Linked DNA regions of Coturnix japonica. The protein of the gene in region 1 binds, or shares a complex with, the protein of each later gene. Links are inferred from orthologs where the notes say so. Each region holds a gene or a part of one and is shown in the gene's direction. Other genes may lie near its edges. The genes, in order: PIGF, PIGO and PIGG.

Evidence for each region.
Region 2: PIGF (region 1) and PIGO share a complex: the UniProt entries of both Homo sapiens proteins name them as parts of the ethanolamine phosphate transferase 3 complex. The link is inferred for Coturnix japonica from reciprocal best matches to the Homo sapiens genes PIGF and PIGO.
Region 3: PIGF (region 1) and PIGG share a complex: the UniProt entries of both Homo sapiens proteins name them as parts of the ethanolamine phosphate transferase 2 complex. The link is inferred for Coturnix japonica from reciprocal best matches to the Homo sapiens genes PIGF and PIGG.

What each region holds. Positions count from the first base shown.
Region 1 is NC_029518.1:23,881,389-23,885,047, reverse strand, and holds part of PIGF (phosphatidylinositol-glycan biosynthesis class F protein), read left to right. Parts: intron 1-1,061; coding exon 1,062-1,170; intron 1,171-1,544; exon of another isoform or gene 1,545-3,659.
Region 2 is NC_029547.1:7,848,124-7,850,488, reverse strand, and holds part of PIGO (GPI ethanolamine phosphate transferase 3), read left to right. Parts: intron 1-122; coding exon 123-193; intron 194-756; coding exon 757-877; 3' UTR 878-2,365.
Region 3 is NC_029547.1:47,222,486-47,226,144, reverse strand, and holds part of PIGG (GPI ethanolamine phosphate transferase 2), read left to right. Parts: intron 1-390; coding exon 391-582; intron 583-3,659.

The sequences.
Region 1 (3,659 bases):
TCAAGGCCAGGTTTGGACGGGCCCTGGGCAACCTGATCTAGTAAAGGTGTATGTTTGGTGGCCCTGCCAGGCAGGGGGGTTGGAACTACATGATCCTTGAGGTCCCTTCCAACCCGGGTCATTCTGTAATTCTGGAAATAATTTACAATTTTTGGTGTGTAGACTAGCTTAGTGTTTGCTTGTTTTTTCCAAGTTACAAGAAGATATAATTGTGTGCTCAAATCTAGTGTTCTAAGTTACAGCAATGGGATTAGCGTAGAATAAATAGTGTTGTTTCTGCCCCAAATGTCAGCATTGCATTATAAATATTATAAGCAGCATGAGTTTTATATTATGCAGCAAGCAGTAGAATTTGTTTGTCCTATGCTTATAAATGGTTCTATCAATATTGAGTGCAGCAGTGAATTACATGCTTTAGACTTCTGAGTACTTTAGACTCTTCAAAATAAGGGTTAAAGGTTTAAAGCTTTCATGTCACACAGACTAAATGTCACTTGTAAAGTTTGGGGTTTGCAGTTCATCTAGACTTTTAGCTGTAAAATGCCCATCTTCTTTCCTTCATTGGCTAAAGCTAGATTTGTGTTTATAACCCGAGATGGAGCAAATTTAAGATCCTGATCTTGTACCTTACTGATTTGGAGTAGGGCTTTGAATTCAGTTCAACTCAGTACTATGCCCTGCAGTGTTATGAAATGCACAAAGAACTCAGAAGTCCATGGCTTGAGGGAAGCAAAAATATTCACTCAGTAAACAGATGATGGACAATAAGCATTTACCTAATAAACAGAAACCCAAATTGTCCAAAACTTTTGAAGCCACTGCTGGTGGGAGGCTATAAACTGAGAACCAAAGTCACTAACATCTGTTATCATACACTACATGTTTTGATCGGCTGTGCAAGAAATTCACCAGCATGCAAAAAATTCTTCCTGCCTCCTGTGCAGTTGAACATGAATGCAGTGTGGCTTAAGAGGTGGAACATGCAGTCTGTACTTACTTTGCAGTGTTTATTTTCATGTCATTTGCTGCTGTTGAAATCCTGTAACACGTTGTTTTTACAGAGCTATGTCCATCTGGGAGAACAGCCTACAGATTACTACAATGTGCAGTATACTAGGAGGTTGGTTTGGAGCATTTCCTATTCCTCTTGATTGGGATCGGCCCTGGCAGGTTAGTATCTGCGTCTTTATTGTTAATTAAAAAACACCTGTTTTCCAGATATACAAGCTACTCAAAATGGCTCTGAAACTGAACAGATGTTACTTGGATTTACTTGTAAGTTGTTTCTGCAGGGTAGTGCCAGACATTTAAAAGGTCATTGGAAGCATCTTTTCTTACAGCATAAGGATGGAAAATGCATATTTTTTTTTACATATTAAGATTCTTTCTTGTAGTTCTATGAGTGTGTCTGCTGCATGCAAATTTTAATCACAAAATAGAGTTGTAAGGATAAGCTAGACAAGGGGAAGGAGAAATGTGAAATGATAAAGATTGCTCTGGGTTTGTCTACTTTCAGTCTGGTATTTTTTCTTCCTTATGGGCAGGGAAGAAATGATGCTCTCCCAGTGTTTCAGATCCATACAAACACTTAAGAGAATACATTTGAAATAGATTTGGATTGATTTGTGGAGATGGTGTGGCCAAAGAACTGTACTACAGTCTTAACTTCTGATTTCAGAGGAAGGCAAGGATTAGCTTTGTAACTGCACAATAAAAAATGCTTGCACTGCAGATTCCGTCTTAATATATTCTAATTGTCTGTGTTATTTTCTTCATATTTTTTTGTCATGGAGAAATGATTATATAAAACAGTGAAAATCTGCATTTGCCCTAAAATGATGATGTCGGTACCAATTTGCACTGAAGATCCTCAGTGGGTATTTTCATTACCTCCAGTTACCAACCTCTAAAACTCTCTGCTACACAATATCTTTGAGGCCTGTTTGTAAGCAGATGGTTTCAAAGGTGTATTTCAGAAATCAGTATAACAGCCAACATGCTTTTTCTTTCTGATACTGTGGAGACTTAGAGCTGCCATAGAAATGTGTCGTCCTGAAATAGCTAGCAGCCTTATGCCATCATAAGTAGAGGAGTAGGGTAGTACCTTACATATAAAATGAAGTTTTCCTCTCTAAAACGGCTTGGAATTATTTTTTTGCAAGGTACCTACATGAGACTGATGGTAAAGTATGTGTTGGCAACCAGTTAATTGTTGGCTGACCTTCCCTGATACTGCCTAAAAGACAAGGGGTTCATTGAAACGCAGTGTTATGTCCTTCTGCATTGAGAGACAAGCAGTTCTCTTCTTGCTCAGCTATGTTTTTAAATGCTGTGTCACATCTGGCAGTTTTTATTTAACTCTTTTGCTTACACCCAAGATTTGTCACAGTATCTTCACTCATTGGCATTTGTGTATTGAATCATTCTATGTAAGTGTTGATAAAAACTTGGATTTATATGAGCATATAATGGCATGTTGTCCATTTCCCTACTCCATTGACATTTGTCAGAAAGAAGTACTGAATGCTCTGTCTCTTCTTTCTTTGGTGTCATTCACAAAAGAAAATCTAAGAGTTGCATTTCCTAGTATGGGACTTGGTCTTGGGTGAAAATTGTGTGTATGAGTGTAGCACAGTTGGACAGGTCAATGTGATGGTACTATTGGCACGATAGAAGGGTGCTATAAGGGAAGAAGATTGCTCACTTGTGTCAGGTTTGCAGGGAGAAACTCCACCAGGGAGGGATCTCCAGAAAGACCCTTCCCCAATGGCAGTCAGCCCTTAAATGGGGTCTAGGAGAGGTACAGCCAGGCTCCACCCCTTCCAGTCACACAGCTGAATTGCCTTCACCTGTTCACCCAGGGCTTTTTCTGCTTGAAAAGTCTTCAAAGTCATACAAGCTGAACATAACAGACTTACTGAAGTTGAGATCTGGAATCTGTAAATCTAAAAACTCATTATCTGACTCCTCCGGACAACAAAGAATTGGCAGAATCCTCAAATATTGTAACTTGTCACTAGTTGTTTCTGCAGGCATGAGTGCTCCCCACTCCATGTTTTACCTTGTGGAATTTAAAATAATGGGGTGGGAGAAGAAATCTTAATTTCCATTTTGAGTCTGAAGTGCTGGATCATTAGTTGAATCATCGTCTGAGTAATCCAAGAGGTCAGATGAATGGAGAAGTTTGCTTATCGGATCTGCAAGCTGCCATTTCAGCAGTCAGAAAATTTCATATTTAGGTGCTTTTTAAAAATTATTTTTTTTTTTTTTAAGGATCTGCTTTATAGGGAAAAATGAAAGAAGCTCTTTGTAAAAGCCTTTATATTTTATAGCTGTATTGCAGCGAAGCACAAAAATGGTAGCCAGTGTTGAAAGCAGGAGTGGAACTCCTTTAAGGAGGCTTCTTAGAGATCCTGTTCAAGACTCTCAGAGGTTTGCAGTTATTGATCTATTTACTTATTTATTTTAATGGTTTTGGCTTTAGTGTTTGGTTCTTTTTAAATTTGTTTTTCCTGAACATGAAGTCTTAAGTGTTGATAAATAAAGGGACAAATGTAGTTGTAAATTCACTTGCTTTAGGAAGAAAATATTTAGTGCAGGTTGACTTCCTGATCATAAAATTATCTGTACGTAACACAGTTATGGAAGAAGGTTCACTG
Region 2 (2,365 bases), on another chromosome or scaffold:
TTTCTAATGTACTGGCCTCTCAGGTCTGCACAATTTAGTATCGCTTTCAGGTATGGACCTGTTGCCCAGAAGGACTCTGCAGTGTGTCACTTGTAACTTTATTTTCCTGGTCTCACCAACAGCTTCTGGCCTGTGTGTGTGCAGCTGTGATCCTCAGGAGGCACCTCATGGTCTGGAAGGTCTTTGCCCCAAAGTAAGTTGCAGGAGTTAGTTTGATGCTGGGTGTTGGCTCATGCTGCTGAAGTCTTGGCTATAGTTCTTAGCTAGTAATATTGGAAGTGACCATGTGATTGATCTTCGATAACTTTTCACTAGTAGAGGCTGTAGAATTGGCCTTGACTAATTCCTGCTTCAGGTTCAGAAGCTGGACTCAGACTGGAGCAGAGTCCTTTCTCCTTGATTTTCAAGGATGCCCAGAGCCCACCTGTAAGTTAAAGAATATTCAGGGCAGAGAGGCAAAGGTAGTGTTATCAGCCTACAAATGAGATGCAAACCTTTGGGGTAGTAGGCATGTGGGATGTCCTTGACCTCTGGGAGTTCCCAAATCCCACTTTAATGTCTTCCTGAATGGCCTTGAAACCAGCAAGGAACTAAAGGCATGGTTGGCTTCTGGATCGCAAGCAGCATCCACTTCTAAGGAATAAATGCAATCCACGTTTTATGACTGGTGGTACTACCAGTCCCTCACTGTCAGGGAAAATTATCTGCTGGGGTTGTGGGTAGCATGATACCTTATTGCATCTGTTGTGCCTCCAGGTTCCTCTTTGAGTCTCTGGGCTTCATGGTGAGCAGCATCTGCCTCCTGCTGGGGATCTCCCTGGTGATGCGTGTGGACTGTGCCGTTAGCACCTGGTTCAGCCAGCTCCAGCTCAGGTAGCACCGAAGATGTGGGGAACCTGACTTGCTCGTCGGCCAAGGCTGTGGTCATCTCCCTGATTCCTTAGTGCCAGGAGGGGTTCAACAGCCACCAGCAACGAGTGCCTGCCGACAGCAGTTTGGGATTATCCCTCGCTCCCTGCCTCAATGTTGTGCAAAAGAACCAGTGCCGGCTGTTCCCTGTTCATTGTGATGCTCTGCAGGGAGCATGCTTCTCAGTGGTTGAGGTTGGAACTCTTGTGCATTTGTTAGCAGCAGGAGGAAGCCAAGAAGCAAGAAGAGTCCTGAGGTGCTTCTCCGCAGAACCAACAGCAGGATGTCTTGCTAGTGCATTCCCAAAAACTGCCCCAACTGTGCTGCTAGTAGGCTGCAGTGGTCTGCAATGTGCCTGGAGAGCATCATCTTGCCTGTGCAGAGACATTGACTTACTTGAAGGGGCCTGCTAAGGAGGGACAGAGAGAAAAGGCTACTATAACTCTGCCCTCTTGCTGGGTCCTACAGCCACCACTTCTCTCTGCATGCTCCGTTTTCATGCTGGAATCAGAGTGCACACAGCTATGCTGGCAGATGGTTTCTGGGGTCTTGGTTGCACCTGCCTTCCTGTCAGCCTAGTTCATTGCTCTTAATGAGGCCTCTCCTGCCCTATACTCACTCCTGTTTTTCTGATGTTCCTAAACAGTACTAGGGGCTGAGTAGAGCTGACTGGGCTGTCTTGGACAGCCTGAAGCAGGCATAGTTTTTTGGGAAGATTTATAGCAGGGTAAATGGTGTCCATGACTGGAAAACTTCACTCATGACCTTGGCCTGCACTGTCCATATAGTCAGGGCTGTAGCAGCTGGGGCTCTTGGTCTCCTCCTGAGCATATGCTGCAGGATGGTTGGTAGTTGATTAGGAACAGTTATTTGCTAGCAGGATGTAGTGACAGACCATTTGACTCACCCCTGTATTGGATCTTGTTAGGAAGAAAGGAGGGTCTTGTGAGGCTGACTGCAGGACTGATCTTGGTGAGAGCTGAGAACAGCTGCTGGAGATTTGTGAGCAGGTGACAACTCCTGCATGGTGGCCTAATGCACTGGAATCCATGTATGTGCTGGGGAAGTTTCTGTCACCTTGATGGCATCCTAGGCATTGTGGAGGATGGCATCTGTGATCCAGTACTGGGTGCTTATCACCCAGTGATCTTGCTTTTGTGCATGAGGCTTTGTGCTTCAAGTGAGCTATCTCGAATCTGCTTTTGACTGTGTGCTGTCAGATGTATATCTGTATGGGCAGAAGTGGAAGATGGTGACCATGGTGCCTGGCTGCATTCCAGCTGAACTCCCCCTGCACTGTTGATGGGAGCTGGGATTCCTTACTGCCCTGAACCACTGTGTGGCATTATTTGGTGCTATGAAACTTTTCATCTCTTTCCCCTCTGGAAAGAGCTGAGGACTGCTTGCCTGAGATTCTTCCTTCAATTTTTGTTCTGGTCTCTGCTTAGTTTTTTTG
Region 3 (3,659 bases), on another chromosome or scaffold:
ATCCCAGAAAATGAAAGGCTGTAGTATAATCAAAATGTACTGTTTAAAAATGCATAAATAGGAAAATTCAAGCTTAAAAGCTTCTGCTCTTTTCCATTATGCAATAAGCAGCTCAGTTTTTATATAATTAAGAGAATAGCTAGCACATAGTGGAACACAATAATTCCACTTTAAGCATGCATTCTTGAATGGGAAGCCTCATTAATAAAATCAATTTTTTGAAACTACTAAAGTATTTTACCATACCTCTTGGAAAATTTATAGCATATCTCAGTGCAATAATTAATTTGGCAATAGAGTGCTGTAGCTGAGGCTCTGTCAAATGTGCTTCACAGTAATTACAGTGGTTTGAAGTTTTTTCTTGTTGTTTGTGTGTTTCTTTTTCTGCAGTTCTGAGCATAAGTCTGAACTCTCCGTCTTGGCTGCAGTTTCCCTCGTTATGATCTTTGTTCTGGTTCAAAGAAGATGCTCCCTGGTTTCAAAAATTGCTATGGCACTTGGGCTTCTGGGAGTCTACAGTTACCGGGCAGCCATTGGAAATGTCGTATTTCCATGGCAACGTGACAGCAAAGATATTTCAAAGTAAGTTAATCAACAGATATGTAAATCTGTTTCTATAAAGGTGTTAACGCTTTCGTTATCGGGGGATAGGGTGGAGAGGGCTGTTATGTTTTGACTGTAATAAAACTCTTATGAGTAAAACTAAATAAAAATATTTTGTAGGTGACTGACGTGCAGGTTCTTGTGATGTTTAATTTTAAGCCTTGTGAAGTGTCCTGCAACTCTGTCAGAATAGAAGTTAGATAGGAACTAATCAGAGGAAAGAAAATCCAGTAGTCATTTCCTGTATTTTTGCTAGAAAGAAGCCCCAAATACATCATCTCCTCATGTTTTAGATGGATTTGCCACATTTAGCAGAGAACATGTCAAATTCATTTAACTATTTGCTAGTTTTGAAGGATGATCATACAGTAATTCAGTGTTGCTTTTCCATATTTTCCTTTCTCAGCTGAGTATTTTTGTAATGTATGACTGTAACAAAGTTCTTGATAACTAGGCTGTGCTGTATAGTGCATACTGAGGACTTTTATGTGGATGGTAAATTTCTTAACGAGCTGGTCGTTGCAACTGTAAGGAATTTGTTAGCATTTTTACCAGGGACTACTTCTAGAACGTGGCTAAGTCACTTTAGTTTTCTTGTGGAGCTTTTTATCATTGGATTGTACCTGGCTTGTAAATACCAGTGCTGTGGAAAACTTCCAGAGTTAGTAAGAACATTCAAAGAGGAGCGGATTGTGGAAGACAAGTTTAACTGTTGTCTTACAAATGAAATAAACTTTCTTTCACATTCATTTTTTATTTGATATAGACACAAGTGGTTTGTTTGTTTGTTTAATTAGAGAATGGAAATTCACAAGATACACATATGGAAAAAGTCCTGCAGGAAAAGATCTTATGACATATAGATCAGATTTGCTAATAAGGCATCTTTAAAAACTATCTTTGTGTTTATATACATATATATGGAGATGTATTTACATACATTCTGTCTTTCCAAATATTGAAGATAGTTCTAATTGTGGACCAGTGTTAACATTGTACGTTCTTTCTGCTGAGTGTGAGAGTAATGTCAGAATCACAGAATTGTAGTGGTTGTAAGGACCTCTGAGTATCACCTTGCTAAAACAGGTTCCCTACAGCAGGCTATACAGGAAAGTGTCCAGGTGGGTTTTGAACATCTCCAGAGAAGGAAACTCCACAGCCTGCCTCTGGGCAGTTTGTTCCAGTGCTCTGTGATCTGTAGCCAGGGGGAACACAGCTAGTTACAGACCGCTAGTTACAGGCCTCCAGCTAGACTCTGCACCACTGAGCACAGCCCTCTGAGCTCTACCGGTCGGTTCTCTTGACCAACTCACTGTCCACTCCTTTCTGACCACGCTTGCTGACCTTACTTATGGGGATGTTATGGGAGACAGTGTCATAAGCCTTGTTGAAATCAAAGAATATGACATTCCCTGCTCTCCCTTCACCTACACAGATGTTCATAGAAGTCTACCAGGTTGGTCAGTAATTTCCCCTTGTCAGCAGTAGTTGACAACCTTCTTCTCCACTTGCTCAGAGATGACATCCATCATAAATCATTCTATGCCCTTCCCAGGGGATGGTCAACTGAGCTGAGGCTGACTGGACTGTACTTTCTGGAGTCCTTGCCCTTTTTGAAGAGTGGGGTGATATTTCTTCCCATCTACTGGCATGTCTCCCGCTCTCTGTGAGCTTTCCCAGATGACAGAGAGTAGTTTGGCAGTCAGTTCTGCCAGGTCCTTCAGCACTCATGGGTGCAATGGTAAACTTAGTCTACAGAATTTTGCTCTGTGATTGAAGGTGTATTTTGAAAGCATGTGTGCTTCAAATCCATTTCTGGGTTTAACCTCATTTTTGTGTTTTAGTAAGGTCCTTGGAGTTGTAATGGAAAAAAAAACCCAACAAACTGCAGCGTGGGACAAAACATTAAATACAGGAATTGAGATACAAATGGAATGCAATTAGAGAAATAAGTGGAGTACTTAAGACAAAAGCCTTTTCTGAGAACTTACTCATTCTGCACTCATCATAGTGATTTTAATTACAAGAAGGAAGATAAAGGGCTTTTATATTCTTTCACCTTAAATAAATAGTGAATATGATAATGTGCTTAAATCATGTCAGATGTTTATAAATCTCTAATTATATAGTGATTTAAAAGGTGCTCTCAAAATTAATGAAACAAAGCTCTAGAAAATAAAGCTTTATTGGCAGATATAGTGGTCTTGTACTTAAAGCACAGCTTGAAATGAAGTGGCAGTTTATCTGGGAGCAATTAACAAGTAGCTTTTTTATTATTATTATTTTTACTAAAATATCTTTGTGCTTCTGTGAGCACAAATACCCTACAAGACTTCAGATGCTCATTTTATACATCTCAGGACAGGTATATGCTGTAGTCTTTATTTTCTATGATTCTTCTTTAAACAAGATACTTTCAGGGTGGAACTTGACAGTCCTTATATATTCTTTTACCGTATACATTTAATGAAATAGTTGTCCCTCTGATTTGAATGGTCAATTCAATTATAAAATATCCCCCAAACCATTCCTACTGAAAGAAGCAGAACTTTTCACCTGTAAGTGAGCTGGTTATGCTAAGATATGAGCTTCTTAAACCTATAATGCAGGGCCTAACAGAGGAAGCATCGCTTGTTTACATTTGCTGACTCTTTAAACACAATGTCTTCTGAAAACTCTTGGAACAGCATGCCAAATAAGATGGTAGACATATTAGCACATTTCAGATGTTAGCTGATATGTCAGTAGCGTAATTCAAGCTCACTTTGATTAGATGGCTGATGTGATAAATGACCAGGACTGTCCTTCAAATTTGTCTGGAGGTATTTTTATCATATGTGTGACATGAAGTGGAGACAGATCGAGATGGTTTGTATGAGATACTTTTTCATCTGTATGTAGCCACTGCATGTTTAATTCATGTTTACTTACAAGACTGAATCAGTGCTTTGATACCCCATTTTTCTTCCCTTTGCTGAAATGAAGTATTTTATCTGAACATGACAATTGCTGGAAGATGGGTTAGACAACTGAAGAATGTCCCTTCCTCTATGGCT